Canis lupus familiaris: one gene and its partners. The protein of the gene in region 5 purifies or fractionates together with the protein of the main gene of each other region. This does not show direct contact. Links are inferred from orthologs where the notes say so. Each region holds a gene or a part of one and is shown on either strand. Other genes may lie near its edges. The genes, in order: RBM42, DNM1L, HNRNPU, PRMT1, SERBP1 and VCP.

Region 1 (5,401 bases), on a different chromosome or scaffold from region 5:
GACCCAAAGGATAATAAAGACCCATTGCCTTTAGTCAGGCAAAGGGTGATTGTAAAGACTACTGGCAAGGAGAACATTTATAAACAAAAATGTTTTCACTTTTCAGTTGAGTATAATTGTAATAGCAGAAGTTGAAATCTGGAGAGCATCATTAAGAGAATGGTCAAGAGCTCAGCAGGCATCCAAGCATAGCCTTGTTGACTGGCTATGGATGTCCTCCTGAGGGCACTAGGGAGTCACAGCAGGGTTGGAAGCTGGGCAGGGTGACTAGGTCAGATGTGCATTTTGATCAAACCCATAGTAAAGAATAAGAGATGTTGAGATTTCTTAGATAGATAAAAAAGTATAACAGGACTTAAGTAACACAATTAACAAGTTTAATTTAAGAGAGATTGTACCTAAACTTTACAGAACACGTATTCTTTTCACACATACAAGGAAGCAGTGTCACAAAAATTGACTGTGTGTATGAAGGTCATCTTGACGATAAAAGTAAGAATGACCTGTGGAGAGGACAGATTTTAGTTGATTTTGGTTAACTTGAATCTGCTTTAGTTAATAGGCTTTGAAAGATTTTAGTTGGGTGACAGTGAGCAGAGGAGAGAAGAGAGATCAATAAGAATATTATGGGCATATTCCAGCAATGCTTAGGGTTCCTGGGAAGTCTATGGGGGTCTCTCTGTTAGGGACCAGGCAATGTGGGGTCTTGACTGCCAGGTGATGAGCTTAGTGCTTATTTGATAGTTTATTTATCCCATCAACAGACAGCACGTAACGCTTACAATGTGGCAGGCACCAAGACTTTTGTCCCTCATGGAGCTTGTATTTTAAAGGAAACAAAAGATAATAGCCATAACAAAGAAATCCTACAACTTGTTATAAGGTATTAAGTGCTATGGAGAAACAGCAAAGAGTAGGGATTAGGAGTAACAGTAAAGGGATAGGTTTGCAATGATCAAGTGAAGCCCTACTGGGGCCAAACTGACAAGCATATGATCAGGTTTGTGCTTTAGGAAGATGGCAATGTCAGAGCCGAGATGAAACGAGGAGGGTGAGTTAGTGCAATGATGTCGGCAAGATGCTGCGGTAGTCAAAACAAGAGTGCTTGGTTAAATGTGGGGTTCTTGGCCCCAGACCTACCTGCTCGACGCAGGAACATAGCTTCTCGAGCCTCTGGACTGTCCAGGTGACTCCGATCACCAGGGCCAAAGCCAACTGTTGGAAGAGGAAGAGACAAGGCTGGTGGGAGGAGAGTCCCAGGCATCCCTTTTGATCACCCTGCCTGACCCCCTGGCTCCTTCTCCTCCACTGCTCCTTACTTACCTGGACCCACAAAAGGAGGGCCACCCACCATCGGAGGAACCACTGTGGCTGCAGCAGCTGCTCGGGCCTCCAGAGTCTGTTGGACCTGTTGGGGAGGAAATTAGGGTGAGTGGCCTGACTTAGTGCCCCCAAGCTGCCCTGGCTGGCTTACTCTGAGAGGCCAAGGGTTTCATTCCTTGCATTTTGTGTATGGCTGGCTATCCATCAACTTTAAGTCTAGGTTAAAATATCACTTTTCGGGATGCCTGGGTGGCTCAGCGGTTGAGCGTCTGCCTTCGGCTCAGGGTGCGATCCCACGGTCCCGAGATCGAGTCCCGCATGGGGTGCCCCGCATGGAGCCTGCTTCTCCCTCTGCCTGTGTCTCTGCCTGTCTCTCTCTCTGTGTCTCTCATGAATGAATAAATAAAATATTTTAAAATAAATAAATAAATAAAATATCACTTTTCAGGGAGACTTTTGAGATCACACTAGTGAAAGCTGTCCTTAGCCCCTCCCAGTAGCAACTTCTCTTGTCATCCTGTTTCATCTCCTTCAATGCATTTAGCACTATCTGGAGTTATGTCCAGCCTGTCCTTCGCATCTCCCATGCCATCACCCTGGTCCAAGCCATCGTTATCTCTGGTCTAGATGATTATTGTAGCCTCTTCTTCAGTCTCCGTGACTCTGCTCTGGCCCCCCTATGGTCTACTCTCCAAACAAGCTATAGTTAGTTAATATCTAAGTTGGACCATATCACCCCTCTGCTCAAAATCCTTCAACAACATCCCATCTCAGAGCAAAGACCAAGGTCTTTATGGTGGCCCACAAGGCACTACCATGTCTGGTCTCTATCACCTCTCTGTCCTCATCGTCTCTCACTCTTCCCCTTGTTCACTCTACTCTAGCCACACTGTTCTCTCTGTTCCTTGAACATGTCAGGTATGCACCTGTCAGGTATGCGTCTTGCATTGGCAGTTGTCTCTGCTGGGAATGCTCTTTCCCTAGATATCCCCATGGATATCTTTCCGTAACTGTCACCTCCTCCGAAAGGCCTTCTCTGACCATGCTGATAAACCTCTGCCTTTTTTACTCTACCCTGACTGACCTGTCTGTCCTTCCTCAGTAAAATGTAAACCACAAAAAGATAGTGATTGTTTTTCTCTGTACTGTTCTCTGCTATGTGCCCGGTGCATAGAAGGCACCCAATAATTATTTACTGACAGAAGGAACAAGTTTCTTTCGTTTTCTTTCAGTAGTTTCTCTCTCCACGTCATATACAACTTTCTATTGAGCAGGTGAATGTGACTAACGAGACCGAGGAACTATTTAACTGAAATGTAAATTTTAATATGTACAGAATACTTTTATCATTACAGAAAGTTCCGCAGGACGACATGCTCTAGAATAATATGCTCCCAAAGGGCAGAGATATTGTTTGCTTAGTTGTTACTGTGTTCTCAGTGCCTGGCACATGAAACATCTGTCACGCTAATCAGTAAGTCCACATGCCAGTAGCTGTCTGTATACAAACACCGTGTTCCAAGCGCTGTGCTCTCGGATTTCCATGCCTCAGCTCAGCCATACCTGCTGGTAAGTGTTGGTTGCGATAATTGGGCGGATCACAGGAGCTGCCGGGACCTGCATCGCTTCCACCGTGGGGACCGTGGGCACCGCAGGCACAGCAGTAGGGATGCCGGTTACCGGAGCCCCCAGAACTTCCTGCTCAAACCTGCGGGGGCAAGACCGACACCACAGCTCAGGACCTCGCATTAATTCTGAAACGCGACGGCGCCTTCGCCCCTGCCAACCTCCGCTTCCTCCCGCCCCCACAATCCCGAAAGTCCCATTTCCCCACGACAGAGCCATGTCGGGCTGATTCCGGCCTGGAAGCTCCAGGGCTCGGTGGCTCTGGCTCTGGGACGGTTTTTATCGCGCCCTGTCGCGGGCCTTACAGGGCCATCTCCGCCTCCATCTCCTTCAGGCGTTCCTCCCCGCTCTTGCCCGGCATGCCGGCGCCCGGGACCACAGGTCCTCCTGCACCCGGGAGTCCCGGGGCTGGCCCCGCCCCGGCCATCGCTGCAGCCGTCGCTGTCGCCGCTACTGCCGCCTCAGCTCAGCTGCCTCCGCCAGTTCCGCTGTCTACTCTCTGGTCTTGTCGGGGTGGGCGCCCGCGATTGACGTTCGGCGAAAGCGACGGCGCTGGTGCATGACATCATGCGGAGCGAGGCCAATGAGAATAGGGCCGCACCTGGAGGGCCCGCCCCGGGAGGAATATAAACCAATCAGAGTGGCGGAAAAAAGGAACCAATGAAGAACCTGGATCTAAGTAAGTGCAGCCAAGCGAGGCGACCACACCCTCATTGGAGGAACAAGGGCTAATGAGAGCGCTGTGAAGTCGCTGGCCCCATCCCTAAAGAGGAAAGTGGACCTTTGAGAGCTCAGAAAAGTTCGCAGGCTCCGCCTGTGCCACCGAAGCTCCTTCCGGAAGCTTTAACACAGGGAAGTCCGCAGCAGCCCGGGGCTGGGCGGGGCTAGGCGGGGCTGGAGGCGGCTGGTTGCCGAGCGCCTCCCCTCTCGGGTAGACGGGCTCGCACACCGCCGGGGACTCCCCGAGAGACGAGGGTCCTGGTGTGGGGAGGGGCTCAGAGGGGCGCCTGACCCGGGCTTTCTGCCGAGGGTGACCTCTGAAGACTTGCTGGACGGAAATGGAGAGAGAGTTGTGGGGGGCGGGGGGGAGGAACAGTTCCTGCAGAGGCCGAGACCGCAGTAACATGTCAGCTCAGAAGGTCACGTGGGTAGGTCTGGTCTCCGTGGCCTTTGGGACGCCGCGCGTCCCTCTTCGTCGTCTTCAATGTGTTGTGTTAGGAATATTTAAAATACACAACACTAGAGAATATAACGAACCTCCACCTCTCAGCAATTACTCATATTCTACACTTTTTGTTTCACGTATTCTCCTCATTGATATTATGATTTTGCTGGAGTATATTAAATTCCAGACATCGGTCAGTTCACCCATAAATGCTTCACGATGTCTCGCTAACAGATAAGGACTATTTATTTATTTTAGATAAGGACTATTTAAAAGAAAAAAGCATTTCACACCTAGGAAAATTAAATAATATATATATTATTAGATGATATATGTATATATATATCATCTAACACCCAGACTGTTCAATTTTCCCTGCCGCAGAATGTCTTTGTGTAAAATCAGGCTACAAATAAGGTATACACGTAGCATTTGGTAGGTTGGTGGAATTTGTGTGTGTGTGTGTGAAAACTTACTTTTTACTGGCTGTCTTGGTTTCTTGAAGTTCCAAGTCTAAATCAACACTAATGAATCCTTTGTGAAAATACTGTCTTTGGGGATCCCTGGGTGGCTCAGCGGTTTGGCGCCTGCCTTTGGCCCAGGGCGCGATCCTGGAGACCCGGGATCGAATCCCACGTCGGGCTCCCGGGGCATGGAGCCTGCTTCTCCCTCTGCCTGTGTCTCTGCCTCTCTCTCTCTCTCTCTCTCTCTCTGTGTGACTATCATAAATTAAAAAAAAAAAGTAAAAACAAAAAAAACTGCTACGCACACACAAAACCAAATGGTCAACAAAACATTCTCCTTTCCTTCTGAAGGTTTCACAATGCATTGTTATCATTAACTAGTCTTTTACTATTAAACTTAAATGGCCAATTGACAGTTCTGAGACCGTTCTTCCACCACCAATTAAGACTAGGGTGGACAGGTATTGGGGATAATATTCATTTAGCCTTCTGAGCTTTCTGGGCAGACTTGTGACTTTGCCAGTTCCAGCTGCCTTCTTGTCCACTGCTTTGATGACACCCAGAGCAACTGTCTGTCTCATGTCACAAATAGCAAAACGGCCCAAAGGAGGACAGAGAAGCTCTCAACACACATAGGTTTGCCAGGAACCATGTCAACAATGGCAGCATCCCCATGGTTCAAGAACTTGGGACCATCTTCCAGCTTTTTTCCAGAATGACAATCTATCGTCTCCTTCAGCTCAGCAAACTTGCAATGTGAGCTGTGTGGCAATCTAGTGCAGGTGCCTATCCAGCACTAATTTGGCCTGGATGGCTCAGGATA
Region 2 (4,931 bases), on a different chromosome or scaffold from region 5:
ACTGAAATGAAAGTTGTTTTCTCTTACTTTTGTCGTATTCCTTAAATAAAGGCTCATGGACTTGGATCTTAATAAGTTGGGGTTGAAGGCAAATTTAAAAAGTGTTGACTAAGTTCTTTGTTCGTGTTCAACCCATCAAATTGTAGCGATTGCTAGAGAGCCAGATATAAATTGAAAAAATTATTTTTATATTAATTACAATTACCTCATAGAAAGTAAGCTACTCAGTATAATTCTATCTACATAATTTTGATTTCTGACTTCTGTTTTACTGTGGATACTCAGCACAGTGAAAATGATTACTTAGTCTGAAAAATGTAAAAAGTGTGGGCTCAAGTATCATCGTGTCTTTTTTTCACACTAAGCATTTACTTCCAGCCTAATATTGCTTTATTTCCTGCCAGGACAAATTATTTGACAGCTTTTACCATTATTGGCACATTAAAAATTTGACCTGTTTGGGTCTTCAGAATACACAGCTTTACTGTAAGAATCCTTTCTTTCTGACCTTTGTTAGGTTACTGATGCATCACATCAGAGATTGCTTACCAGAGCTGAAAACCAGGATAAATGTTCTAGCTGCCCAGTATCAGTCTCTCCTCAATAGCTATGGTGAGCCGGTCGACGATAAAAGTGCTACTCTGCTCCAGCTTATCACCAAATTCGCCACAGAATATTGTAACACTATTGAAGGAACTGCAAAATATATTGAAACTTCAGAGCTGTAAGTAAAACATTTCTCTATGGGTTTGCTTATCTGAAATGCTGGGTTACTTTTGCTTTTGTAACAGTGACTTTAACTCTGAGATTTTCTGATCATGATTTGTTATTTGCAGAATAGTGTTTTGCAGAAATAATAGGATGCTGTCTGACATATGTGTTAAAATGCTTTGTAAACTAGGTAAAGCACAGTAAATTTGTTTTTTTTTTTAGACAAGACTTTGATAAGCATTTAAATATAATTGATAATTTAACTTTTTTTTTTTTTTTTGATAATTTAACTTTTTAAATATTTGTCTCTTTAATAGACACACTGATTTTTCATGGGGAAAAAAAAAGAAAATGCAGACAAAAAGAACAGAAGGACAAAATGACTTAATTCCACTATCCAGAAATAATCCCTGCTAATTTTGGCACGAACTTAGACGTTTTTCAATGCAATGATAAAATATTATAAATGCCTGTATTACACATCTTCAAAAATCAGATCAAAACACTATCATGCTGTTTTGGAATCATTCCTTTAAATCATTGTGTCACAAACAACTAATATTAATTGTACATTTCTATTACCAGTCTTAAAATTTACATAGTATTTTGCTTTTTAGATACACCCTAATGTCTTGAACCAGTACCCTACTACTGATAGTTTCATTTAAATATAAACAGTGTTTTGATCGACTATTTTGGGGGCATGAATCTGAGTAAACCCTTAGGCTAAATTCTTAGGATGGAATTACTATATCAAAGGGAGAACATCCTAAAAATCCCTTCCTGTTGCCATACTGTTAGTGGATTATATTGTTTTACTGTTAGCAATATGTAAGAATGTTCATTTATCTGAACTCTCACTTAAAAAAAAATTTTTAATTTTGAAATAATTATAGACTTTCAGGAAGTTGCGAATAAATATGCCTTCCTAGGTCCTGTTAATCTTTCACCCCATCTTCCCTAGTGTTGACATCTTGCATAACTGTAGTACAGAAACAAAATGAGAAAATGGACCAAGGGTACAGCCCACAGAGCTTATTCAGATTTTACCACTTGTGAAATTATACACACATTGGTATGTGTATTCTGTGTACTTTTGTGTGACACAGGTGGCCTGTTATGTGAGTTAATTCTGTAAAGACAGTATTTAACTAATTACTAATTAATTGGTGAATGGTTAGTCATATTATAATATATATAATATTAATATATAATATTATATATATTATATATATAAACATATGGCATATTGAGGGGAAATACAGATTACTAAGATGAGCCTTTGAAGCACTTAGTGGGTAAGGTAGAATAAGATAACACAAGGCATGATTCAGTGGCAAACAGGTGTATAATCAAGTATTTTTATTTAAATACTTATTTAATATACTGCATATCTGGAAAAGTGCTTATATATGGGGAATTTTTTTTATATGGGGAATTTTATAAGTAGTTAATAAAGCAGATATCTGTGTAATCATTTAAGCCTTAAAACATTGAGGAGAGATCATTTACATTTCTCTGAGAGACTGGGTAAGTGCCATAGTTAAGAATGTGTTCAGGTTGGGCTCTGAATAGGATATAGGGAAGCAATAAGTAGAAGAGTGTTTTAGGCTTTGGGACAGCAAAGAATAATGCAAAAGGTGTATTTGGGGAATGGCATGTACGGTGGCAGGACATAGCAGGCAGTTAGGCAGCAAAGGCATCTGAGAACAAGATTGTGGAAAGTCAGGTATCTTCAGAATTTAGAGAACTTCCTGCCATAGAAAATAAAACACTTTCAGTCAGAGGAGTACCCATTTTAGAAGGATAATTTTAATTATTATGGAAAATTATTTGGAGAAAGGATCGGTTGGAGGCAAATGGATAATTTAACCATTTTTAAGTGTGGTTTAATAGCATTTGGTTACAGTCACAATATTGTCTAAGCATCAGATGGTGTCTATTTCTAAAATTTTCATCACCCCAACAGAAACTCTGTATTTCTTTGTTCCCTCCTCCTCCAGTCTCTGGTAACCTCTAATTTACTTTCTGTCTCTATGAATTTGCTAATTCTAGATATTTTATATGAGGGGAATCATATAATCTTTGTCTTTTGTGTCTGGCTTATTTCACTTAACATAATGTAGGTTGGTACCTTCTGCTTAGACAACGGTAAGAAAGTAGTGGATAGTAGAGATTTAATTTGTTTAAGGCAGAAGAAAACTGTAGCCCATCGGCCAAGAAGGATTTTTACATTTTTAAATGGTTGAAAAATATTCAAAGAATATTTCATGACATGTTAAGATCCAAATTTTAGTGTGCATAAGTTTTACTGGAACACAGCTACGCTTATTTGTTTGTATTTTTGTCTATAGCTGCTTTTGTGCTCAGTAGTTGAATGGAGTTGTCGTGGCAGGGACCATATGGCCTGAAAAGCCTAAACTATTTACTATCTGGCCCTTTACAGGAAAAGTTTGCCTATCTTTTCTCTAAATTGTGAATAAACAGAAATAAACAAGATATCATTTCTTGTCTTTTAAAAAGCTCATAGTCAAGGAAACTAAGGGCAGAGAAAAGATGTTTAATAGTTCTTAGTTACCTAATGTTTTTGGACAGACCATTATTCTGTATGTGTGTCTGTGTGCATGCAAACAAATACATACATGTGATGGATGCCTTTTGTGGAATGACTCTTCTTCATTAAAAGAAAAAAATTACAGAAACTGGTTCATAATGGAGTTGAGAACACATGGAAATGATCTAAAAGTAATTGCTTATCTGAGACTTTATCAGACAATAAGACCTTAAAAGCTTATAGAAAGGCTTCTGACTTGTAGCTTCTTTCCCTTTTAATAATAATAGAAACCATATACTTCATTGCCTTTCAGATGCGGTGGTGCTAGGATATGTTATATTTTCCATGAGACTTTTGGGCGAACTTTAGAATCTGTTGACCCACTAGGTGGCCTTAACACCATTGACATTTTGACTGCCATTAGAAATGCTACTGTGAGTATGCTCAACTTTTAGAAATTTTTTAAAAAGTTAAGGATTTATTATAATTTTTAACCCATTAGCTATATCTTTAAAGGAATTGTATTTTTGCCCTCATACTTAATATCAGGAAGCACTTTTCATGAAAAATACCAAAAAACATGATTTATTTTAACTTAGGGAAGAATTAAAATTTAATATAGCTATAATAAGAGCTCAAAAAATTTTTTTAGGGTCCTCGTCCTGCTTTGTTTGTGCCTGAAGTTTCATTTGAGCTATTGGTCAAGCGGCAAATCAAACGTCTGGAAGAACCCAGCCTGCGTTGTGTGGAACTGGTTCATGAGGAAATGCAAAGGATTATTCAGCACTGTAGTAATTATAGTACACAGGTAACTGAGAAATGTAACGTGTCAGATTAAGTAGTAAAAGACGGGAAGTGGTGGTTTTGTGGATTGGGAGGAAGTATGTAAGATGGGCTAAAAATAAGTTAAAAATCTGCATTTTTCTGTATCTGAAAGTGATTTGAAGTGTAATGCTATATGTTGCTTAAAATCTAATTCAGTATTTTGGTGATTATTTAATTTTCCTTTAAACAAAGTAGACCGTTAAATTTTTCTTTCTTCTATCATTTATAGGAATTGTTGCGGTTTCCTAAACTTCATGATGCCATAGTTGAAGTAGTGACTTGTCTTCTTCGTAAGCGGTTACCTGTTACAAATGAAATGGTGAGCTGCTATTTTCACAAATCATCATGGTAACCACTAAAGAAATTTTTTTGTATAGCAATAGGAGTACTTTAGAGTTTAAGCCATGTTTTCCAGTGTATTGGGAAGAAAAAGAAGTAAACTTCACTCTTATTTCAAAGGACACAAGTAATTCTGGCATGAAGTATAGTTTTCTTCATATTTTAATCACTGTTAGCCTACAGCTCTAGGTTTTCATAAGAATGGAGTTAAGTGTTGACGATTGTGATTAGCTTTGCTATACTATATAGCACCACTGATCTAATGGAAAATTAGTTTAATAATCAGGCCCGGTAAACTGAGCTTTTATATGGCAAACTATTTTAGCTCTAGTACATCAGGGTAATTTGGCCACTTGTAGTTTGCTTGTTTGATGATGCAACACTGTAATATCATGGTTGCTTGCTGCTCTTTTCTGGGTTACTGCTATCCTTAAAAATGCTGAAATTGGCAAAAATAGGGGATAAGCATTTGAAATCGCCTTATGTCTCTATGTGTTGGCTG
Region 3 (5,507 bases), on a different chromosome or scaffold from region 5:
AGCATAAGAAGCAAAAACAGTAAGTCGTTATCTGTAAGTGCAAGTGGTAAAATAGTGAATTGCAGATTTCACCTGTTTGTAAAAAGGACAAACAGTAACATGAGGGGTCTGACTATTTGCAAAAACTGTTTTTCTTTCAAATGTTGTCTAAGAAGGCCCAGTGTAATGAAGGAGCCCTGGGGTGGGAAGGTGTCCTCTGCCTCTCAGGCTGTAAAATGGGAGGCCAAAAGCCATCTCTCACCTCTATTGAGCTCTAAAAGTCCATGACAAGCTCTTGGAGAAGCCATGGAACTATTCATGTCATCTACTCTTACATTTCAGGTTTATTGTTACAACTGACAACATACCAAGAACCATTGTCATAAATTGACATTTAGACATAGAAACTTTCATAGTTTACGTATTCTCAATTAAATGGAAATATTTTTCATAACACGAATATTTAAAAATGTAAAACTATCTAAGGACACTTATAGACTCAAAGAAGCATCATCATAACTACATTTAAACTTTGATTCATGAAGGGACTAATTATCCAGTTTGTGAACCTGTAAGCCCCTGTAGCTCTCTTCCCATTCTTTGCAAAGAATTTGAAACTCCAGTTTGTGAGTTGTTTATAAGCTCCAAGGACATCGTAACCAAAGGCCAAATGAGTTTTTGGCACTATTTGGAAGTTCCTATTTTGGGTGCCTTCCCCCTCCACTGACTTTCACCGAGAATTAGCAGTACTGTACATACTCCATTAGTTAATTTCAACTGTCATTCCACAGATGTATTTCATCTTTATGACGACTGAGTGGTAAAACACATGGTTCTTGGAAGCTATGGAGAAGAAACTTGAAAAAATAAAATGCATTCAACGGTTAAATCATACTGGCCTCTGCTAGTATTGCTCCAGTTTCAAGTTAACATTCGGGGCAGCACTACTCCAGCTCCAGCACCACACAGTGGGTAGGACTGAGCTCTCTGATAGTGGGACGTTGTCTAGTCACTGTGCAGGCTTTCTTGGGGGTGTCGCATGCGCCCCTCTATCACGTATCTAAGTGCTGGCCCCCTGTGCGCAACCTCAAGAACCTAACATGCCTTTTATTTGGGAAAAGGGAAAAATCAAACTTCTAAAACACACCCAAATACACAACAGATTTCGGGAGCCGATTGTCTCTTTTTTCTTTCTTAGAAAATCCCGGCCCTTTGACTCGTCCTGAGCTCTTACTGGCTTCAGCACGACTTATGGGGGGTGTTCCTGCGGGGGGGGGGGGGGGGAGAGGCGGCGGAGGGCACGATCCGGGGGCGTGAGCTCGCGGGGGGCCGTCTGGGCGGGCGGACGTGCCCCTCCGAGGCTCGCCCCGCTCTCCCGCCCCGGGGCGGCCGGACCAGCCCTGCCATCCGGGCTGGGGAAGAGACAAAAGGGATGCTCTGTCCTCGCCCTTCCCGAGCCTAAAATCCAGGGCGCAGGGCAGGGCCTGGGAACATTCCACCAAATGCGAGACGGAAGGCACCCCCCGCGGGCAGGGCCTGCCCGTCCGTGCCGTACACATCAACACGGAAATAAGATTTCGAGGCGTTTTAAGCAGCGGGCTGGCGAGCGAGAGAAAGAGGCAGGCCCATCCAAGATGGAAGCAAGGCCGAGGGCTCGGGCGGAAGCCGCCGGGCCGGGGCCGGGGCCGGGGCCGGGGCCGCCGGGCTCTGGGTGCAGCAGCCCCGCGCCCGGGGGCCGAGAGCGAGGCGAGGGCCGCCAGCACCCAGCTCGGGAGGCCGCCCGGCTGCGGCGGATCGCTGTAACCGAAAGGCGGCCCCCCTCCTCCCCCAGCTCGGCCCCGCGGGAAGCGCACTGCGCGGCCGGCGCCGCGCTCTCGGCGGGTTGGGCGTGGGGGCGGGGAGGGCAGGGCGGGCGGGCGGGCGGGGGCGGGGGCGGGGCGCGGGGGCGGGGCCCCGCGGCGCGGGCGCGCTCCCCCCCGCAGCGGAGCTCCCGTCAGCGCAGGGGGCGGGGCGCCTATATTACGTGCGCGGCGCCGCCCCTGCGAGAGGACGTTGCGTGCTCGCTCGCGCCAGGCGAGTCTCCGCGTCTCCCTCGCGAACTCGGTGAAAGGAATTGGCGCCGTTCGACACCAGGCGGGTCCGCTCTGCAGCACGAACCCACCTCTAGCCGCAGCCGCAGCCGCCGCCCGGGCCGAGGAGCAGCCGCAGCAGCCGCCACCAGTGGCCGAGGGAGCGGAGCCGAGTTTGAGCCAGCGCCTAGCGGTGAATCGGGGCCCTCACCATGAGTTCCTCGCCTGTTAATGTAAAAAAGCTGAAGGTCTCGGAGCTGAAAGAGGAGCTCAAGAAGCGGCGCCTTTCCGACAAGGGCCTCAAGGCCGAGCTCATGGAGCGCCTCCAGGCCGCGCTGGACGACGAGGAGGCCGGGGGCCGCCCCGCCATGGAGCCCGGGAACGGCAGCCTAGACCTGGGCGGGGATTCCGCCGGGCGCTCGGGAGCAGGCCTCGAGCAGGAGGCCGCGGCCGGCGGCGACGAGGAGGAGGAGGAGGAGGAAGAGGAGGAGGAAGGGATCGCCGCCCTGGATGGCGACCAGATGGAGCTAGGAGAGGAGAACGGGGCCGCGGGGGCGGCCGACGCGGGCCCGATGGAGGAGGAGGAGGCCGCCTCGGAGGACGAGAACGGCGACGATCAGGGCTTCCAGGAAGGGGAGGATGAGCTCGGCGACGAGGAGGAAGGCGCGGGCGACGAGAACGGGCACGGGGAGCAGCAGCCTCAACCGCCGGCGACGCCGCAACAGCAGCCGCCACAGCAGCGCGGGGCCGCCAAGGAGGCCGCGGGGAAGAGCAGCGGCCCCACCTCGCTGTTCGCGGTGACGGTGGCGCCGCCCGGGGCGAGGCAGGGCCAGCAGCAGGCGGGAGGTAAGAAGAAGGCGGAAGGCGGCGGAGGCGGCGGTCGCCCCGGGGCTCCGGCGGCGGGTGAGTGCTGCGTTGTACGTTGCGCGCGGCGGGAGGCCCGCGCGGGGTGGGGACCGTGCCCCAGGCCTGCCGGAGCCCCGCGGGGGGGAGGGGGCGGGGGCCGCCGCGGGGGAGGCGGGGGGGAGGGGGCGCGGGGAATCCCGCCCGGCCGCGAGGCCTCGGCGGCCTCGGGCTCGGCGTGTGCGACGGCGGCGGCGCCTCCATTATGTGGCTGGAGGGCCGGGGGGTGGGGGTGGTAGCTGCAGCTGCCGCTGGAGGGGGAGGAGCCGCGGGCGGCGGGCGGGAGCCCGGTCGGCCCGCGGTGGCGCCGCTGCGCTGCGTGCGCGCGGTGCGGGCACATGTCTCGGGGGGGGGAGGGGAGAAGAGAGGCCCGAGGGCCCGGGGCGGGCGCGCTTTGGCGGCGCTGGGCCGCGGTATTGTGCAAGGAGCGCAGGGGCTCGGCGTGACGTCACTTCCGGCGGGAGGGGCCGGGCGGGGAGAGCGGGGCGGAAGATCAGTACAATGCGGCCGCGGGGAACGCGGGCCCGGGTGGGGGAGGGGAGGAGGGGAGGGGCGGGCGCGCGGGCCGGCGCGGCCCCTCCCCCCTTCCTGAACTCTCTCCGGGATCCACGTGGGCTCGGGGCCGGGGCCGCCCTGGGCTCCGGGAGCTTTCTCGAATCTTCGAAGAGGCTGGCAAAATTAGGAATGTCTTTAGACTGCGTCACTAGCTCCTGGCCGGTTCCAAGCTGATTGTTCTTTGAATTCGCGTTGGATTCGTCGGTTGAAATCGCTTGCAGAAAAGAACGGGGGAGTTAGGAGTATTTGCGTTCCCCAAACAGGAGGGGGGATTTTTTTTTCTTTTTCCCCGGTTGCGTCGCGGCTTGGCCCCTTATGTTAGGGGTGTTGTGTGTTATAGGAGACGGCAAAACAGAGCAGAAGGGCGGAGATAAAAAGAGAGGGGTGAAAAGACCTCGAGAAGATCATGGCCGTGGATATTTTGAGTACATTGAAGAGAACAAGTATAGCAGGTAGAGGATGCCGATCTAGTTTTACCCGTCCCCGTTCTTTCTGGGGTAGGAAAAGCTGAATCAGGAGACAATTCTGTCTTTCAGAGCCAAATCTCCTCAGCCACCTGTTGAAGAAGAAGATGAGCACTTCGATGACACAGTGGTTTGTCTTGATACTTGTAAGTGAAGCTGTTTCTTCCCTTTTCTCCCCCGGTTACTAAATGTGGCGATTTTGGTGCCAAAATGTTAGAGAACTTAAACGCAGTGTGCTGAATTTAAATGCAGAATACTTAGCGTAAACCGTTTACCTTTTTTAAAGGAGGGAGACGAAAGGTTTTATTCAGATTCTGGTAGCTAAATGTCTAATACAGCATCAATTGTGTCGTATTGATAATTTTATAGGCTCCAGCAATTTGGTGTTATTTTTTATATGATTAGAAAGTTCTCATTTATAGGAATGTAAAATTAATGGCAATTTTTGGTTTAGTTAGCTAATGGAAACTTGTAAGACAACCTGTAACTTGTCCTTTTAGGCTCCTACGATAAAGTAATTTAATTTTTTTGGTAGCATTTTATTAAGTGAGCTATTTGGGCTAGTTAAATACGTATTAATGATTTTTTCCCATTAGCACACAAGTATATTCCCTATTCTAAAAGATTGTAATATTACTTTTTCAATAACTGCTCTTTTGTTCTCAATTCCAGTTCAGTAGCTGCTGCTTTAACATAAGTTGATTTCTTCCAAAGACCTGGGGCAGCAGCAGTGGGCTATCACTGGGCTACTAGCTTTCTTCAGCAGCGAATGGTATCAATGGCAGCGCTGTAAATACTGCTACTTTACCCAGTTGGGTTGCAATTGAGTATGAGGAAGTATTGCAAACCTCTAAATGGGCCTTGGCTGTCAGATATGTAATTTTGCATAAAAATACTTTGTTCAGTATTTGATCAGAATGCACAGCTCTTTCACTTTGATAAATAGAGCTTAGAAATAATGGCTTGCTAAGTAGGTGGTCAGGTGTGAACCTGCCCCATAGATCTAGGGAGTTAAAGTTTAGATTTCCGTGTTTTCCAATACAAATTATTTTTAGCAAGATTTGTGAGAATGTAAATGTTAACTCTTGAGTTCGTATTAAATACCCTTAACAGGTAGTTGAGCTAAGGGAATCTTTTAAAAGAAAAGAAAACTGCACGTGGAAAAATCTTTGATGTGAGAGTTTTATTTTAAATAGTTCCATTGCTTTTAAATATGACTAAGTTGGAATTGGCAAGATAGTGAAGCAGTGCTTCCAGAAGTGACGCTACCGCCCAAGTAGATGGGGTTTTAGCTGATTACCTAGGAACATCAACTTAATTTGTTGCTATCTATATTGGGTTCAAACACAGTTGGTCGAATTGAAAATTCTGTCAGTATTCTTGAGAGCTAAGCTCATTTAAGGAGAATCCCAAGCTGTAGATCTAATTTCCTGTCATCAATAAAAGCATAAGAAAACGGGTTTTTAACTTGTGATGCAAACTCCAAGAAGGTGCATGCTAATGAGCCACTGACCCAAAGATAGCTAGGTTAAGGACC
Region 4 (4,931 bases), on a different chromosome or scaffold from region 5:
CCACCCGCCAGGCTTAGCTCACCAGGCTTAGCTCGCAATGAAGCAGCTTCCCCAGGCCTCTAGCGCCACCTCTAGTCACAGGCTGGACTCCCAGATCTCAGGTAGGAACTGAGGGACCTGATGTCTTGCTGGGGTCAGGTGGTGGGCCTTCTTTGGTTCCAACCCTGGGGACCCCAGGCCACAATCACCGCCCCCCTCACCTTTATGAGGCAGGCGTTGGTGACCAGCTGCTTGGGGTCTACCACGTCCACCAGGGGCTCCTTGATGGCCACGTCTTTGATGCAGGACATGTCAAAGCCGTACACGTTCTCCCACCCTGGGGTGTCAGGCAGGGAGGAGGGGTGAGCCCATTAGGGGTGCCCAGGCCAAACCTGCCTCCCCCCCACCTCAAGCTGCTATGCCCCCCTCCCCCCCAGCTCACAGTGAATCTTGTAGTCTTTGTACTGCCGGTCTTCGATGGCTGTCACATACAGCGTGGCTCGGTCCGGGAAGATGAGGCCATCAGGTGCCTGCCAAGGGGTCAGGTGAGGGTGTGAAGGGGGGGGCCTTGGAACCGTGCCCCCAGACCACAACAACTTGGGTCTCTATCCCCACCCTGGTCTGAGCCACCGGGCTTCCTACAATGGCCTCCTAGCTGGTTCCTGGCTTCTGCCCTCATGCCCACATCTATTCTCCACATGGCTGCCAGGCAGCATCCAGCAGCACCAAAGTCAGGGCTGTCCTTCATAGGTTCTAAAGGCTCTGCAGAACCCTCCCTGGCTCCTGAGAGGAAAACTAGTCTCATGGTGGAGAGGACAGGGAGGCACTCAGGCCCATCCACTCCTTCCCTTCTGTTTTCCCTGCTATTCCTCAACACACAGTAAAAACACTCCTGCCCCAGGACATTTGCACCAGTTCCTCTTTGCCCCAGATCTTATGTAGCTCTTTCCCCTTGTTCAGGTCTGTGACCTCCCCCCACCAGGAGGCCTGCTTGGATCTGAGCACCTGGAACCATGGCCCTCTAGCCTCTCCCCATCTTTTGCCCTGCTACAATCTTCTTCCTAGCACCAACTACCTCATGACTCTGTCTCCTGGACACTGCTGCCTGTTACATCCCATTTTGGCTTTGGACCCTCCAACATCTGAGCGGTCAATCCCCTGTATCAAGTCCCCTGTGTGGGAAATACCTAGCACAGCTTTTGGTTTTCTGCCCAGATCCCAACTGGCAGGTGTCCTGCACACAGTCGGAGGAGGAGCCCTGCCTGTAGGAACCACTCCCGCCCCACTAGGGGCCTCACCAGCCACTTGTCTCGGGCATAGAGCACGGTGTTGAGCATTGACTCGTAGAAAAGGCAGTAGCCCATCCACTCGCTGATAATGATGTCCACCTTCTCCACCGGAAGCTCTACTTCCTCCACCTTGCCCTTGATGATGGTCACCACTGTAGGGGGCACAGAGAGGGACATGCAACCAGCTCTAAGGAGACACGTCCGCCTGCCTTCCCTGGGGGGTAGCCCATCTTCTCAAGGAAAGGCTAGGGGCTACATGTGGGCTTCTTCAAAGAACTCTGTCAGCTGAAGCCATACTCTGAACTCAGATTTTTTTTTTACTTTTTTGAAAGTAACTCTACACCCAACGTGGGCTCAAACTCATGACCCCAAGATCAAGAGTCACACACTCTATAGACTGAGCCAGCCAGGTGCCCCTCTCTTAACTGTTTTATTTTTTTATTTTTTAAATATTATATTTATTTATTCATGAGAGACACAGAGAGGCAGAGACACAGGCAGAGGGAGAAGCAGGCTCCATGCAGGGAGCCCGATGTGGGACTCGATCCCAGGACTCCAGGATCATGCCCTGGGCCAAAGGCAGGCACTAAACCACTGAGCCACCCAGGGATCCCCTGTTAACTCTGTTTTGAAGTGCATTCATCACTCTGGATAGTTTTAAGACAGAAGCAGAAATTTTGAGTGGATTAGGTATTAAATGATAATAAGACTTTGTCATTAACAGTACAGTCATGTTTTTGAAAGGCTCTATTACACACACACACACACACACACACAGTGGGATTTGCAGAAGGATGACATCACAGTTAGAATTTGCTTCAAATGGATGTATTTAAAGCCAAGTGATGCGTATCTGGGGGTTCATTATACTAATCTCTCATATATATATATATATATATATGCTAATCTCTTTAAAAAATCACTTCAGGGCGCCTGGGTGGCACAGTCCATTAAGCATCTCTTGGTTTTGGCTCATATCATGATCTGTGTCATGGCACTGGGCACCACTTGGGAGCTCTGACCTCAAGAGGGAGTTCACTTGAGATCTCTCTCCCTCTCCCTCTGCCCCTCCCCCTGCTTACGTTTTTCTCTCTAAACAAATAAGCAAATACATAAAATCTTTATAAATAATCACTTCACTTTCTAAATGCTAGGAGCCTCCACATCCGAAAAACCTACCATCTTCCCACATTCTCTGCCTCTGGAACCTGGCAGATGGGCACTTAAAAGCCACGTGGCAACATTCACACAAAGAACATTTCTGACCCAAGCAGTCCTCCTTTAATAAACTGACCTCCCAGTTCCCCTAGCTGATACATGAAATGACATCACAGGCTCAAGGATGAGCATCTCAGGAGTGGCTAGAAAACCCGCCCCCCGAGCCTGATCAAAAATGTTGGGGTACATGCAGACAATGGTCATTGAAAAGGGTCTTTAAGAGCCTCTCACATCTCAAAATGTGTGAAACTACATGATGAGCAGGTGGAAAAAGTAAAGGGCAAAAGGCTTGCGTGAAATGCTATTTATGTAGAAGCCATGCATGTAAGCGTGATAACATTTACACGTGTATGTGCTCGTAGGTGCAGACTTCTCTGGAAGGCAATGTGGGTTGAACTTAGAAGGGCAGCTGGAAGATCTCTCACCATGGACCCTCGGGTGTCAACCACATGCCTCTACGAACTAAAGACTGCTTCTTGCCCTAGTGTTTGATGAGTAAGGCACTAAACTTGTGACTTCACCACTCAATTTCTAAAAGGGCAGAGCATGCCCGTCACTACTGGTTATAGGTTCTGGGAAGGTGGGATACCCAGGCTGCCAGCAGCTCAGGGCCCATGGTGGGAGAAACAGCTGAATCTGTGTTCAGTGACGACCCCCACCCCATTGCCAAGGGCCCCCGGGGAAGCGGGGCGGTCACCCACTCCATCCCACAAACCCATTCTCTTCCTGGGCTCACCATGGTCTAACTTGTTGGCTTTGACGATCTTCACCGCATAATCAGAGATACTGGAACACTCGATCTGGGGGCCCAGGAAGAAGGGAGGGTGAGACCCCCCCCACTCCCACCCTCAGCCCCCATTCCCCTCCGTCCAATCCCTGAGCCCTAAGGGGCCCCTCTCTGTCCCCTGGCCCTGGCCCACCCGCCTGCCCAGGACACTCACCCCAATGACCTTGCGGGCTCCAGCCTTGGCAGCAAACATACAGAGGATCCCTGTGCCCGAGCCCACATCCAACACCACCTTGTCTTTGAAGAGGTGCCGGTTGTGAAACATGGAGTTTCGGTAGGTGAGGGTGCGCACCTCATCTTTCAGCATCTCCTGGCAGGGAGAGCGGGCACAAGATACAAACATGCCATGAAGGGGCCTGCGCCCCCAGCTAGAAAATGGGGTGCCCTGGCCTCTGACACACTGGCACTTTGGAAAGCTAGAGCTCAGTCCTCCTGCTTCGTCTTCTTGGAACAAATCATTTTCCTTCCTCCGCGTACCTCAGTTATTCTGTTTGTAAAACCAGACCGGAGGGACTAACAGCTTGGCCTGATTCTACCACTGCCTCCCAAGCCGCAGTGATCCTTGGCTTTATCCAGAACTTAGCGCCACTAGACTGTACACTTAAGAGGTAAATTTTGTTACGTGCATTTTACCACAATTTGGAAAAGAAAAGGTCTCAGCAAGAGAAAAAAAAAAAGAGAGAAAAAGAGAAAGGAAAAGAAAAAAATTCTCAGAGTCCCATCTCGACCACGTTCTGGGACCTCAGTGCAAAAGGGTCGGGAAGCCAGCGCACCAAAGGCGGGGCGGTTGGGGGAACAGTCCCACCGCCAGTCACTAGAGGGCGGCAGAGACACGCAGGCCCTGACCTCCGCAGTCTCAGGCAGGCTGAGGGGTGCTCCCCCCTCCCCAGCCTCCCAGGAGCGCCAGGCTAAGCTCCGTCTCCAAGGCAACGGCTGGGAGAGGCGACCCCGGGGTGTGTGCCTCACACCCAGAGGGGCGGCCAAGCCCGCTGCCAGGGGAGGCAGTGCGCATGCGTGGGAAATTCAGCCCCAGCCTTCCCAAACATTAACCCCCTCAAGATCCAGCAGCTTTAGGAGCTGTTCACACTCACCTCGTGAATGCCGAAGTGAGCATAGGAATCAAAGTAGTAATCTTTGGACGTCATGTCCTCAGCATTGGGCTTCTCGCTGCTTTCTGCCTGGCCACAGGAGACCTGGGAGAGGGTGGACGGGAGCAGAGGTTAAATCTGGGGGCTCTCCAAGGCCTCTTAAACCTCCAGGTCCCTACTTCTCCCTGGAGAACAGATCCTCCCCCCAATCATACCATGGCAACCCTAAAGGCCCCACCTGCCGTCCTGCCTCCCCCACGAGCCCCAAAACCTTACAACCCCACTTTCCTCTTCCAGGACCCCCCCAGAGCACCATCCAAGGGAGCACCCCAATACCTCAGCCACGCCTACCATCTCTCCAGTCTTTCTGCCCCCGTCTCTAGCTCAGCCCACAGCTGGGGAGGGGAGGGGAAGGCAGAATTGGGGCAGACACGGGAAGGGCAGGTGGGGGGGCTGGAAATGGAGTTAAGGAAGTAGCCACGGTACTTGGGGAGGCCAGATGGGAGCCACAGACCTGGAGGGTGGTTTGTACTAACGGTTTGGGGGCACAGGGTAAACTGGTTTGAAGCG
Region 5 (4,931 bases):
ATAAATCACACAGGTAGATTCACATGACGGATGTATGTGGATTCTTTTTTAGTATTTTATTCTCCTCACTTGCTAAATAAGAATGGCATCAATTTGAAAGCAGCATAAGAAACCTATTATATATAATGATTCATTCATCAATGTTAGGAAGGGACCCAACTGCTATTTACAATCAAAGAACAAGTAACAACAAAAATGTATTAAAAGATCCATACACACAACACAGACCCTTTAAAAAGCCTAATGTTCAGATGAAGAAAAAGAAATCACTCCATTATTACCGGTGACCATTCTATGATATTAAGCTACCACTATAATACACTGACAGATTCAATCAGGTCCCCAATTTGCATATCATGGGTTGAGAATTCAGGAGGACGTCACTGGTTTCCTAGCCAGACAGAGACCATGAATTAACCTAACGCAAAGGTTACTGCTAATACTTTAATTTCAGTCATTAACAGCATATACTTTGGCATCAAATGATCAGAGTAAAAATTTATCAATCACTAGGTCTTCTATAAAAATATTTAAGAACCTGTCATATACACTGTATGAGGCATTAAATTATAAAGGGAGGACAAAAATGAATCCCAGCTCTCAACACTGCAGTCTAGTTTTTTCTAGATTATTGAAAAAGTGTCAATAATCATCCGGTTAGTGTCACACAATTATGCACACAAATGCTACACTGATACTCAAAAATGTAGCCAAGAGTCAAGGCAAAGGAGATAGTTGGCATTTCAAGTAGACTTTAGCTAAAGCTCAAGTTAACTTGGTTCCCTGTACCTAAATTTCCTCTTCTGTAAAATGGGGATATCAATATAGTAACAAGAATGAAATGCCATAGTACATAAAATACCTAGCACACCACCATGACCAGCACCAAATACTCAAAAAAGTGAAAATTTAACTTTACTAGCAAGCACTCTTCAGTCAATTTAAGTGCTTTTAAGCAAAAATACAGCCTAAAATGTAATTTCTTGAAGGTATATCTAACTACTTCTTCCTTCTAATCCTAGCCCCAAAAGGACCCAGGGCACTGATTTACCAAAAGAGGTCCTCAAATTACTTTAAAAAGAATTCTTAAAATTACCTTGTCAGTTCTGCTGCCACGGTTTGGACGTCCACCACGCCCACGGCCACCTCGTCCTCCCCTGCCACCACGTCCTGGGCGGCCAAGGTCTCCAAAATTGATCTCCAGCTGAGACGTTATATCATTTGCTGGCTTCCGGAAATGATGGTCCATAACCGAATCTTCAGCATGAGCCTAAAAATTTAAGAGTAGGTCATGGGGTGATTAACAGGAAAGCAACACTGCAAATTTCTAATTATTGAGCTTTCTCTTAAAAAGACCAAGAATCGGGATTTCCTGGGTGGCTCAGCGGTTTAGTGTCTGCCTTTGGCCCAGGGAGTGATCCTGGGGTCCTGGGATCGAGTCCCACATCAGGCTCCCTGCAAAGAGCTTGCTTCTCCCTCTGCCTGTGTCTCTGCCTCTCTCTGGGTCTCTCATGGATAAATAAAAGCTTAAAAAAAAAAAAAAAGAGGGATCCCTGGGTGGCGCAGCGGTTTAGCGCCTGCCTTTGGCCCAGAGCGTGATCCTGGAGACCCGGGATCGAATCCCACGTTAGGCTCCCGGTGCATGGAGCCTGCTTCTCCCTCTGCCTGTGTCTCTGCCTCTCCTTCTGCCTGTGTCTCTGCCTCTCTCTCTCTGTGTGACTATCATAAATAAATAAAAATTAAAAAAAAAAAAACATTAAAAAAAAAAAAACCAAAAATCCAATCTGTACTTCGTGAACAAATACAACAAATGATAATTTAAAAATATCAATACCACTAAGGTAATATGTAAACTTGGAGATCAGCTGTGATCTTAAAGGAAGAGTTCCTTTCACTTTTAACTTTATAAACTACATGTGATATTGGCAAGTCTTGATCAGAGGTATGTAATCACAACCACTCAAGTCTCTAGGGCCCATTTGAAACCTACCAAATCATAATCTTTAGTGAAGTTTGGGTAAGTACATTTTAAATATGTCCTTCAGATTAGATTCCAATGTGAACCCCTGATGAAGACTTTTGGATAGATTGCACGGGAGGTCTGTATCAGGGATTAATACTAAATCACTTTGTGAGTTTTAAAGAAAATTCTGGGTCTGCACTCTTCTAAGTCTGACTTGGGAAAATTGCAGAATTACAGACTCAAAAGTGAAATCAGGGAACCTTGAAAAGCTATAAGCACAAATAAATCCAAGCCTTAAATACAGCCAGGTAACCTTAATGTCAACATATTTGTGAAATCCAGGTCCTCCTTTGTATTTATATATAAGGTATACCACCCACTCTGTAAAAAAAACAAAACAAAAGCCGGACAATTTTACACTGCTTAATTCCTAATTTTTTCCTGTATGTTTGGAATGAATAAATTTTCACCTTCTAGTTCCAAACCTTTCTTATAGTACTTTGGAGTGTGTTTTAGTTTTTCTAAATGCAGGTACAATCCTTTTCTGAAGGAATAATGAACATTTTGTTCTTTTTAAATCCTGTAACACCACAACTGTTAATAACTTACCACTCACTCTAAGTACCAATGAATTTTATATCTGCGTCTTCGCCCCTTTGTCTAATATCCAAATTAATTGTCATTCCTTAGTGCTAAGCCAATCTAAAGGCAGTAGACGGTTCTTCTTAAAATATCAACTTTAGGGCAGCCTGGGTGGCTCAGCAGTTTAGCACCGCATTCAGCTCAGGGCCTGATCCTGGAGACCCGGGATTGAGTCCCACATCGGGCTTCCTGCATGGGGCCTGCTTCTCCCTTTGCCTGTGTCTCTGCCTCGCCCTGTGTCTCATGAATAAATAAGCTCTTTATATATATATATATATACACACACACACACACACACACACACACACATATAAAGTCAATTTAAATTAATGTTTAAATGTAAATCCAGAAAACCTGCAAAGTCAATTATACATACTAATTGTTTGCTATTGCAAAACAGTATTATCAATTCATTAATTAGAAGCATTTAAGTTTCTAGGAAACAGAAGCAAAAAAGCCTAATTGATATACTACTGAAACACCTCAAAGGTTTTATTACAATAATATAGAGGAAGTTTAAATGTTGGTGAACATCCCTTTAAGACAGCTAGTAGGATAAATCTGCAAAGTTTTTTTTCTAGAGCAGTGAATGATAATCAGGAAATAAGAGCTTTGGCTTCAGCTCTGTCAATTAATACCCTAATTCAGTTATTCATAATCAATTTCACATTTTAATTTTAAAACTTTCTAATTATATATAACGGTTATTTCTGAGAAGCTCAATGTAAAAATATGATACCTAACCTGATGTCTACAAAATGCATGAAGAGACTTCAGAGTAATTAATGAATCAAGAAAAATGTATCAGTATTTTGTGTATGTGTCTTGTTTTGGAGAAGACCTCAAAAAAGTTACAAATTATGCCAAAGGTACCTTAAGTAAATCTTTTCCATATTAACCTAAGCAGTTTAATCATTTCTACAAATTAACAATCTCCCCAAGATGAATTTTCATTGTTTCTTTAATCAAGAATACTTTAACCCAGATACACAACTCTATCTGCAAGAATTATAAAAAAAATTTTTTTAAATAAGCAAAAGCATTCAAATGAAGCAAAACGTCTTTTCCGACACGACTTCGCACTTTACAACATATCCCTGTTTATATTATTTTATGGAGTCAATGTTGTTAAAAAATAATTTCTAAACCATAAGTGTCTCAACCTTTATTTTACAATGTTCCAAGTTTGTTTCACAGCTATTTGTTTAGAAAATGAAGACGCAATATCTCATTGAATCTTTTAATTACACTGCCTTAGTAACATTTCAATTTAACTTTATGATTAGCATCTCCTACTTGCATAAGCCTTAAATGATGTAGCAGTGGGACTTTCCTCTAATAACGTGCTCCAGGGATTGTTACCCAATCAAAAACCACGAACATACCTTTCTCAAGTATTTTCATTAGTAAATTACTTTGCTGGTTCTTATTAAGACATCAGTCCTCAATAAGTACAGCATCATTTATTAAAGAGTCTTGATCATTATAAATGACAGGCAGAGAGTTTGAAAAACTGAAAACTGAATACTGATGAAGCTACGGTCTTAGGTTAAACCATAAGAAAATGCAAACCTTTCAACAATTCAGTTAGGCAAGATTTTTAAAAATATTATCACAACTTTGAAAAGACCTACCTTATTTCTAAAACACTAGTAACTGTATGATAAACACCTGATTGCTTTCTAGAAAAAAACAACAAAACCACCACATTAAATACATTATTGACTGAAGGACTACCTTTCTTGAAATATATGGTAATGCAGTTTATTTCCTTTTTGAGCATCTTATCTACCCCAAATGATCCTATGTAAAGTTTTTATTCTTTATAAACAGATTAGCTATGTTTTGAAAAAGTATAAATACCATTCAATAAACATCTGCACATTTTCAGACATCACAAAATTTAATTTTTTACCTCTTCACTCTTTGATTTATGAAGAACAAATCCCTTCTTCCACTGCCCATCAGCACCTTCATTTGGTTTTCGGATATTAAATTCTACTTTTGCCCGATCCTTATTTTGAATAGCTTTCCACTCATCCAAAGTCATTTCTTTTGGACCCTCTTCCTTTACTTCTTCAACTTCGTTCTCCCTGCGAAAAAACATGTTTTATAGCGGTAATGGGCTGATAAAATCTTAACTTATGATCAAAAGGAAGAAGTTAATCTTGGCTTGATAATCTTTAAAAGATTATCCAAGAACAAGAGGATACCAGTCTTGTCACCCAATGGTTAACACATAACTTGGTGGAGGCTAGAAATTCAGTGCTTGTTGAATTGTGAAAGCATGGATTACTGAGGAATATACAATTCAACTTCATAAACT
Region 6 (4,931 bases), on a different chromosome or scaffold from region 5:
CTCTTTGAAGCTGTCTTTTTTATGGCCTATCCACAGGCTGCACATGGGAAATGCCCATATAGAAGATAAAATTATTTGTATGGTACATACTAGAGAAGAGGGTAATTTCATCTTCACTGTGCCCATGATATGGAACAGTTAGGAAGTCACATTGTAGGTCTGCAGTTCTCACATGTTTTGGATTCAGGACCCTTCACACACTGCAAATTTCCTTAAACTTTTCTTGGGTGACATTGTTACATACAGGTAGGCAACTATGATGAGATTTGTTTTTATAGGGTCCGTGAGATAAAAATGGTTTTTACATTTTTAAATAACCATAATATAAAAAATAATGCAACAAGAATTGACCCGAGTCTTTGTTAATTACCAGCCTACATTATGTCCCAGGATACTCACCTTAACACCAATCGCCTTAAAGAGAGCAGGATGTCTGAGAGGTAGCTCCACCATCTCCTTTATCTGAGCCAGCTGTTTCCTGCAGCCACCAATATCATCATAGCCTACTTCATTCAAGGACTCTTCCTCATCCTGAATACAGAGAAGACAAAGAAAAAAAAAAAAGGCAGGAATATTATTATTATTAGCAAAAGTTGAGTTTCGCCAAATCCTTCTACAATCTGGTATAGAGAAACCTATTTTACGAGAGGATTCTCCTCTAAGGGGGATCCTGACTCAAAGAACAATTCTAAAAATCCCAAAGCAAAGATTTTCAGCATAGTCTTTCCCTTTTACACTGCCCTTAGTATTACTGGAAAGAACCACCCTAAGACTAAAGCTAGAAACTGGGAAACAGACAGAGGTCTGGATGCCATCATCAATGTCACTTCTACAAAAATTATTCCAACCACTTAGATCTTTTGAGTTCAATCTGGATTTTAAAAATTACTGGTATCATATACTTCTAGAAACACACAGGCCCAGAAATGAATAGTTGAAACATTTTCACAACCTCTGGAAAAAAGCTTAGTTCCAAAGAGCACTCAGTTTTATTTTTAATAGAGGAAGACAGAGATGGGTGGGAGCAGGGGCGGAGGGAGCAGGCTACAGAGCGAAAGGGAGAGAATCTTAAGCAGGCTCCAGACCTAGTATGGAGCCCAAAACAGGGCTCAACCTCACAACCCTGAGATTATGACCGGAGTTGAAATCAAGAGTCAGATGCTTAACCAACTGAGCCACCCAGGTGCCCCCAAAGAGCACTCACAGTTAGTAGTTACCATATGACCGCCCCACTTTGTAATCATGAAATTGGGTACTGGGATAAAGGAGAGAACTCACCTCTCGTTTGATAGGCTCCCCTTCACAGTGGATCACTGTGTCTGGGGCAACAATGCAGTAAGGACTGGGATCTGTCTCCACTACTTTGAACTCTACAGCACGCATTCCACCCCGGACAAGGAAAATGTCTCCTGTGAGAGTAATTAGCACAAGTGCAGTCAGAGATGTCAAATACCAGAGCAAGTGAGAGTTCCTCACCAGAACCTGTTGTCTAAAATGCCAAGTTCACTAGATACTGCCCCTTTCCCCTTCCCACCTCTACCTTATTAAGCATCAGGCAAGAGGAGAAAGCTAAACTGTGAAGTGTCCCTCTGCCATTCAAGAGGACACTGAACAAAATCTTATGGGCTATAGGTAACCAAGCTTTCACAACAACCACAGATGATCAGACTGTGCTAAATATTAAATACACTTTGGACTGTGACACAGCCAAAAAGTGCCCAAGTCCTCCTTCTGGGACAAAGGAGAAGAGAGCTTACTCTACTGAAGCAGGGAATGATAGTAGGGAAATGGAGGAGTGGGAAGGAGGAGGAAGGAAGGAGAGTACACATGAGCGTGTATGCAGAATGTGTGTGTAAGCACACATATGAGAATGAGATAAAGACATTCCAAGATTTACTCCCAGGTATCCCTACAAACAACTATCCTTAAGCTCAGTCTTTAGAATTATCTCTCACCTTTCCGGATGGGTCGATAAGCTTCCAGGAAGTATGGCTTAAGGTATACCTCGAAGAGATTGCCAGTGATGCCTTCCACCGTGTCATCGATGGGTAGCACGTGGATACGTTTGCCGTACTTCACATCAGGACACGGCTGGATGCTGAGGATGACAAGCAGACTCCACATTACCAACCACAATGTAGCCCCAAACACTGGGCGTCTGAAAGTGCCTGGCACAGAGAGCTGACGGCAAGTAAAAGAAAAAAGGTAGGGATGGCTTTAGGTGAAGAGAGGAAGGAGGGCAGAGTGAGAGTGAGGACAAAAGAGCAGCCAAACAGAACTAAGACCAAGTCATACTTGGGGGAAGGGCAGTAGTAGGAGCCATTAGAAGAAGCTACAAATTTACATTAAAATTTTATTTTTTTTAGGTAAATTTAAAGTTGAACTAAAATGGGGCTGCTCACTCCCAATCAGTGAGCCAAAAGGAAGACCCACACATGTAAAGCCCCCAAAATGAAGAAATAGGAGCAAGGATCTTCAGTGAGAGATATCCAAAGATGACCCATTTGGCTAATATTAGTAACCCAAAATTACGGAGGCCGTAGTGGGACAAGTATCAGGATCAAAAAAATAAAACTGAAAAAAAAAAAAAAAAAAAAAGTCATCTCAGCCAGGTGGTCAGAGAAACTTGACGTGATTAAGCACCTCCAGAAGGCTACATGAAATCTAGAATCCATTAAAAATAATCAGAAGTCTGAGATGTTCCTGGCCAGTCTCAGATGTTCCTGACAGGGGGTTGGATAGCTGTGGCTAGTGATGACTCCAAGATGGGAAAGCTTCTTGCCTAAAGTTAAGTTTAAAATCTCTCAGATTGGGGATCCCTAGGTGTCCCAGTGATTAAGCTCCTGCCTTCTGCCTGGGGCAGGATCCTAGAGTCCCAGAATTGAGCCCCACATCGAGCTCCCTGCATGGAGCATGTTTCTCCCTTTGCCTGTGTCTGTGCCTCTCTCTCTCTCTCATGAATAAAATCTTTAAAAAAAAAAAAATCACTCAGATAGAAGCTGAAGCTATTCAGGGTCTGACTCAAACTATGCTTCTATTCTATATTAACTTTGATCCATAAAAAAACCCTAATCGGAAATTCGCCTTCTATGCCCACACTCCTACCTCATTCTGGTCCCAACACAAGCCATTATTTCAACATAACAGTGAGATTGTTTCATAGACACTCTCAAATGGTATCCTAAACCAGCGTTCAGCATGTTATAAATCATACCTCTGGCAAAAAAAATAAGTAAAGGTATCACAGAAGTCACAGAAATGCAACTTGTCCCAAGGGTCATGCAGAAGTAAATTCTGAAGTCTCAGGGAGGCAGAATCAAAACCTAAAGATAGCCCTGCTATATTAAGTCTTCCCATGGCTAGAAGGATTCTGCTATGGGTAGCTGCCAAGAACTTCATTAGTCCTGTCTATAATTCAGGCTGTCTCTGGCCTCCCATCCCTGAGGGGCTAAGAACCCCACACACACCTGATTACATCCCCTAGATGTACGCGAAGGTTATTCCGAACAACTCTATTCATTCGAATCTTCTCATCGGAACATGTGTCATCAGAAAGCACAATGCACACAGCTTCCCGCCTCTTCTTTCCTTTCAGCAATACTGTGTCACCTCGGAACAACTGCAGTTCATCCATCTTGGGCTGAGAAAAGAAGGTTAAGGCCTTTGGGTCACTGGGCCAAGGGGTAGGCAGCAGCCCTGGAGGCTGGAATTCCCAGTAAACCCCACTCTATCTGTGGTCACTGCAAAAAAAAAAAATGAGGAAAGAAACCTGGGAAAAGTCCTCAGGTTAAGTGCAATAAGGAAAGACTGAACCTTTGACCCAACTTACCTGGGACAAGGACACCACACTGTTGTCCTCATTGATGGCTTCATCGACAATTAACCGATTGGGACGATTCTTCTGTTTAAGAATGGCTGTTGATAAGTCATCACCTTTTGAACTAAAAAGAGAAAATGAATTTAGTCCCAATACATACTCCAGTCCCAGGGACCCCACCAGTCTTTAAAATTCACACTTACGAAAGAAATAGTGGATATATGAAGCTGTCCCTATGCCAGAGAGGTCAGATAAAGGATATTCAGCCACGGTCACGAAGAGTAACATTTAGCACATACAATTCCCATTCCAGCATCTCTTAGTATTCTGAGCACTGGTATCCTAGCTGTTAAGGCCCCAAGTGATCTTGCCCCAGAGTCAGGAAACTATGGCCTGAGAAGACTAAATAGAGGTAGAGGCTGAGTAGGACACCCAGGTGGCTCAGGGGTTGAGCATCTGCCTTCAGCTCAAGTCATGGTCCTGGGGTCCTGGGATCGGGGTTCTGGGATCGAGTCCTGCATCAGGCTCCCCACAGGGAGCCTGCTTCTCCCTCTGCCTGTGTCTCTGCCTCTCTCTGTGCCCCTCATGAATAAATTTTTTTTTTTAAAGTAGAGGCTAAGTAACAATTAGAGAAATGACAATAATCTTAGTATGAAAGAAACAGTGATTAGGAGAAGGGGCTATGCAGTCAGACCTGCTGGGTCTGAATCCCAACCCTGCCACTGTTTAATTGTCATCTTGAGCAAGTTACTTAACTTCTCTGGATGATGATGTCCTCATCTGAAAAGAAGCAAATACAGTAGTACCTATCTTAAAGAATTATCTTAAGTGAGATAATGAATGCAACAATGCCTGGCACATGGTATTAATGGTCACAATGATTACCACTGCAGAAGAAAGCATAAACTCTTCTTTGCTAACCTTCTTGGAGAATGAAGTGAGCAAGACAACTTCCTGTAGGACTCAGGGAGGCCCCAAGTCCCACCAAGCCTGGGGACAATGAAGTAGAATCATTAGCACTACCATCCTTACTGGCTAAACCTGCTAAATTCCAGAGCATTCTATATACCACAGAAATGCCAAGCACAAAGACTATGACATTTGGGGAAAACTA

What was found.
Region 1: the proteins of SERBP1 (region 5) and RBM42 purify together in Homo sapiens (affinity purification with mass spectrometry; 3 studies listed by BioGRID and IntAct, with this or other methods). This does not show direct contact. The link is inferred for Canis lupus familiaris from reciprocal best matches to the Homo sapiens genes SERBP1 and RBM42.
Region 2: the proteins of SERBP1 (region 5) and DNM1L purify together in Homo sapiens (affinity purification with mass spectrometry; 3 studies listed by BioGRID and IntAct, with this or other methods). This does not show direct contact. The link is inferred for Canis lupus familiaris from reciprocal best matches to the Homo sapiens genes SERBP1 and DNM1L.
Region 3: the proteins of SERBP1 (region 5) and HNRNPU purify together in Homo sapiens (affinity purification with mass spectrometry; 3 studies listed by BioGRID and IntAct, with this or other methods). This does not show direct contact. The link is inferred for Canis lupus familiaris from reciprocal best matches to the Homo sapiens genes SERBP1 and HNRNPU.
Region 4: the proteins of SERBP1 (region 5) and PRMT1 purify together in Homo sapiens (affinity purification with mass spectrometry; 3 studies listed by BioGRID and IntAct, with this or other methods). This does not show direct contact. The link is inferred for Canis lupus familiaris from reciprocal best matches to the Homo sapiens genes SERBP1 and PRMT1.
Region 6: the proteins of SERBP1 (region 5) and VCP purify together in Homo sapiens (affinity purification with mass spectrometry; 3 studies listed by BioGRID). This does not show direct contact. The link is inferred for Canis lupus familiaris from reciprocal best matches to the Homo sapiens genes SERBP1 and VCP.

What each region holds. Positions count from the first base shown.
Region 1 is NC_049222.1:117,828,405-117,833,805, forward strand, and holds the start of RBM42 (RNA-binding protein 42), read right to left. Parts: upstream 3,493-5,401; 5' UTR 3,377-3,492; coding exon 3,255-3,376; intron 3,032-3,254; coding exon 2,887-3,031; intron 1,409-2,886; coding exon 1,324-1,408; intron 1,216-1,323; coding exon 1,141-1,215; intron 1-1,140. UniProt on the Homo sapiens protein: Binds (via the RRM domain) to the 3'-untranslated region (UTR) of CDKN1A mRNA.
Region 2 is NC_049248.1:30,398,332-30,403,262, forward strand, and holds part of DNM1L (dynamin-1-like protein), read left to right. Parts: intron 1-517; coding exon 518-724; intron 725-3,578; coding exon 3,579-3,699; intron 3,700-3,917; coding exon 3,918-4,073; intron 4,074-4,319; coding exon 4,320-4,409; intron 4,410-4,931. UniProt on the Homo sapiens protein: Functions in mitochondrial and peroxisomal division.
Region 3 is NC_049228.1:35,784,917-35,790,423, reverse strand, and holds the start of HNRNPU (heterogeneous nuclear ribonucleoprotein U), read left to right. Parts: upstream 1-2,021; 5' UTR 2,022-2,260; coding exon 2,261-2,951; intron 2,952-3,846; coding exon 3,847-3,958; intron 3,959-4,042; coding exon 4,043-4,116; intron 4,117-5,507. UniProt on the Homo sapiens protein: DNA- and RNA-binding protein involved in several cellular processes such as nuclear chromatin organization, telomere-length regulation, transcription, mRNA alternative splicing and stability, Xist-mediated transcriptional silencing and mitotic cell progression.
Region 4 is NC_049222.1:107,528,877-107,533,807, forward strand, and holds part of PRMT1 (protein arginine N-methyltransferase 1), read right to left. Parts: intron 4,814-4,931; exon of another isoform or gene 4,716-4,813; coding exon of another isoform or gene 4,698-4,715; intron 4,467-4,697; coding exon 4,365-4,466; intron 3,584-4,364; coding exon 3,428-3,583; intron 3,287-3,427; coding exon 3,223-3,286; intron 1,421-3,222; coding exon 1,278-1,420; intron 510-1,277; coding exon 422-509; intron 317-421; coding exon 201-316; intron 1-200. UniProt on the Homo sapiens protein: Arginine methyltransferase that methylates (mono and asymmetric dimethylation) the guanidino nitrogens of arginyl residues present in proteins such as ESR1, histone H2, H3 and H4, FMR1, ILF3, HNRNPA1, HNRNPD, NFATC2IP, SUPT5H, TAF15, EWS, HABP4, SERBP1, RBM15, FOXO1, CHTOP, MAP3K5/ASK1, MICU1 and NPRL2.
Region 5 is NC_049226.1:43,516,529-43,521,459, reverse strand, and holds part of SERBP1 (plasminogen activator inhibitor 1 RNA-binding protein), read right to left. Parts: intron 4,699-4,931; coding exon 4,521-4,698; intron 1,271-4,520; coding exon 1,097-1,270; intron 1-1,096. UniProt on the Homo sapiens protein: Ribosome-binding protein that promotes ribosome hibernation, a process during which ribosomes are stabilized in an inactive state and preserved from proteasomal degradation.
Region 6 is NC_049232.1:51,940,371-51,945,301, forward strand, and holds part of VCP (transitional endoplasmic reticulum ATPase), read right to left. Parts: intron 3,942-4,931; coding exon 3,830-3,941; intron 3,641-3,829; coding exon 3,468-3,640; intron 2,099-3,467; coding exon 1,956-2,098; intron 1,410-1,955; coding exon 1,279-1,409; intron 532-1,278; coding exon 400-531; intron 1-399. UniProt on the Homo sapiens protein: Necessary for the fragmentation of Golgi stacks during mitosis and for their reassembly after mitosis. Involved in the formation of the transitional endoplasmic reticulum (tER).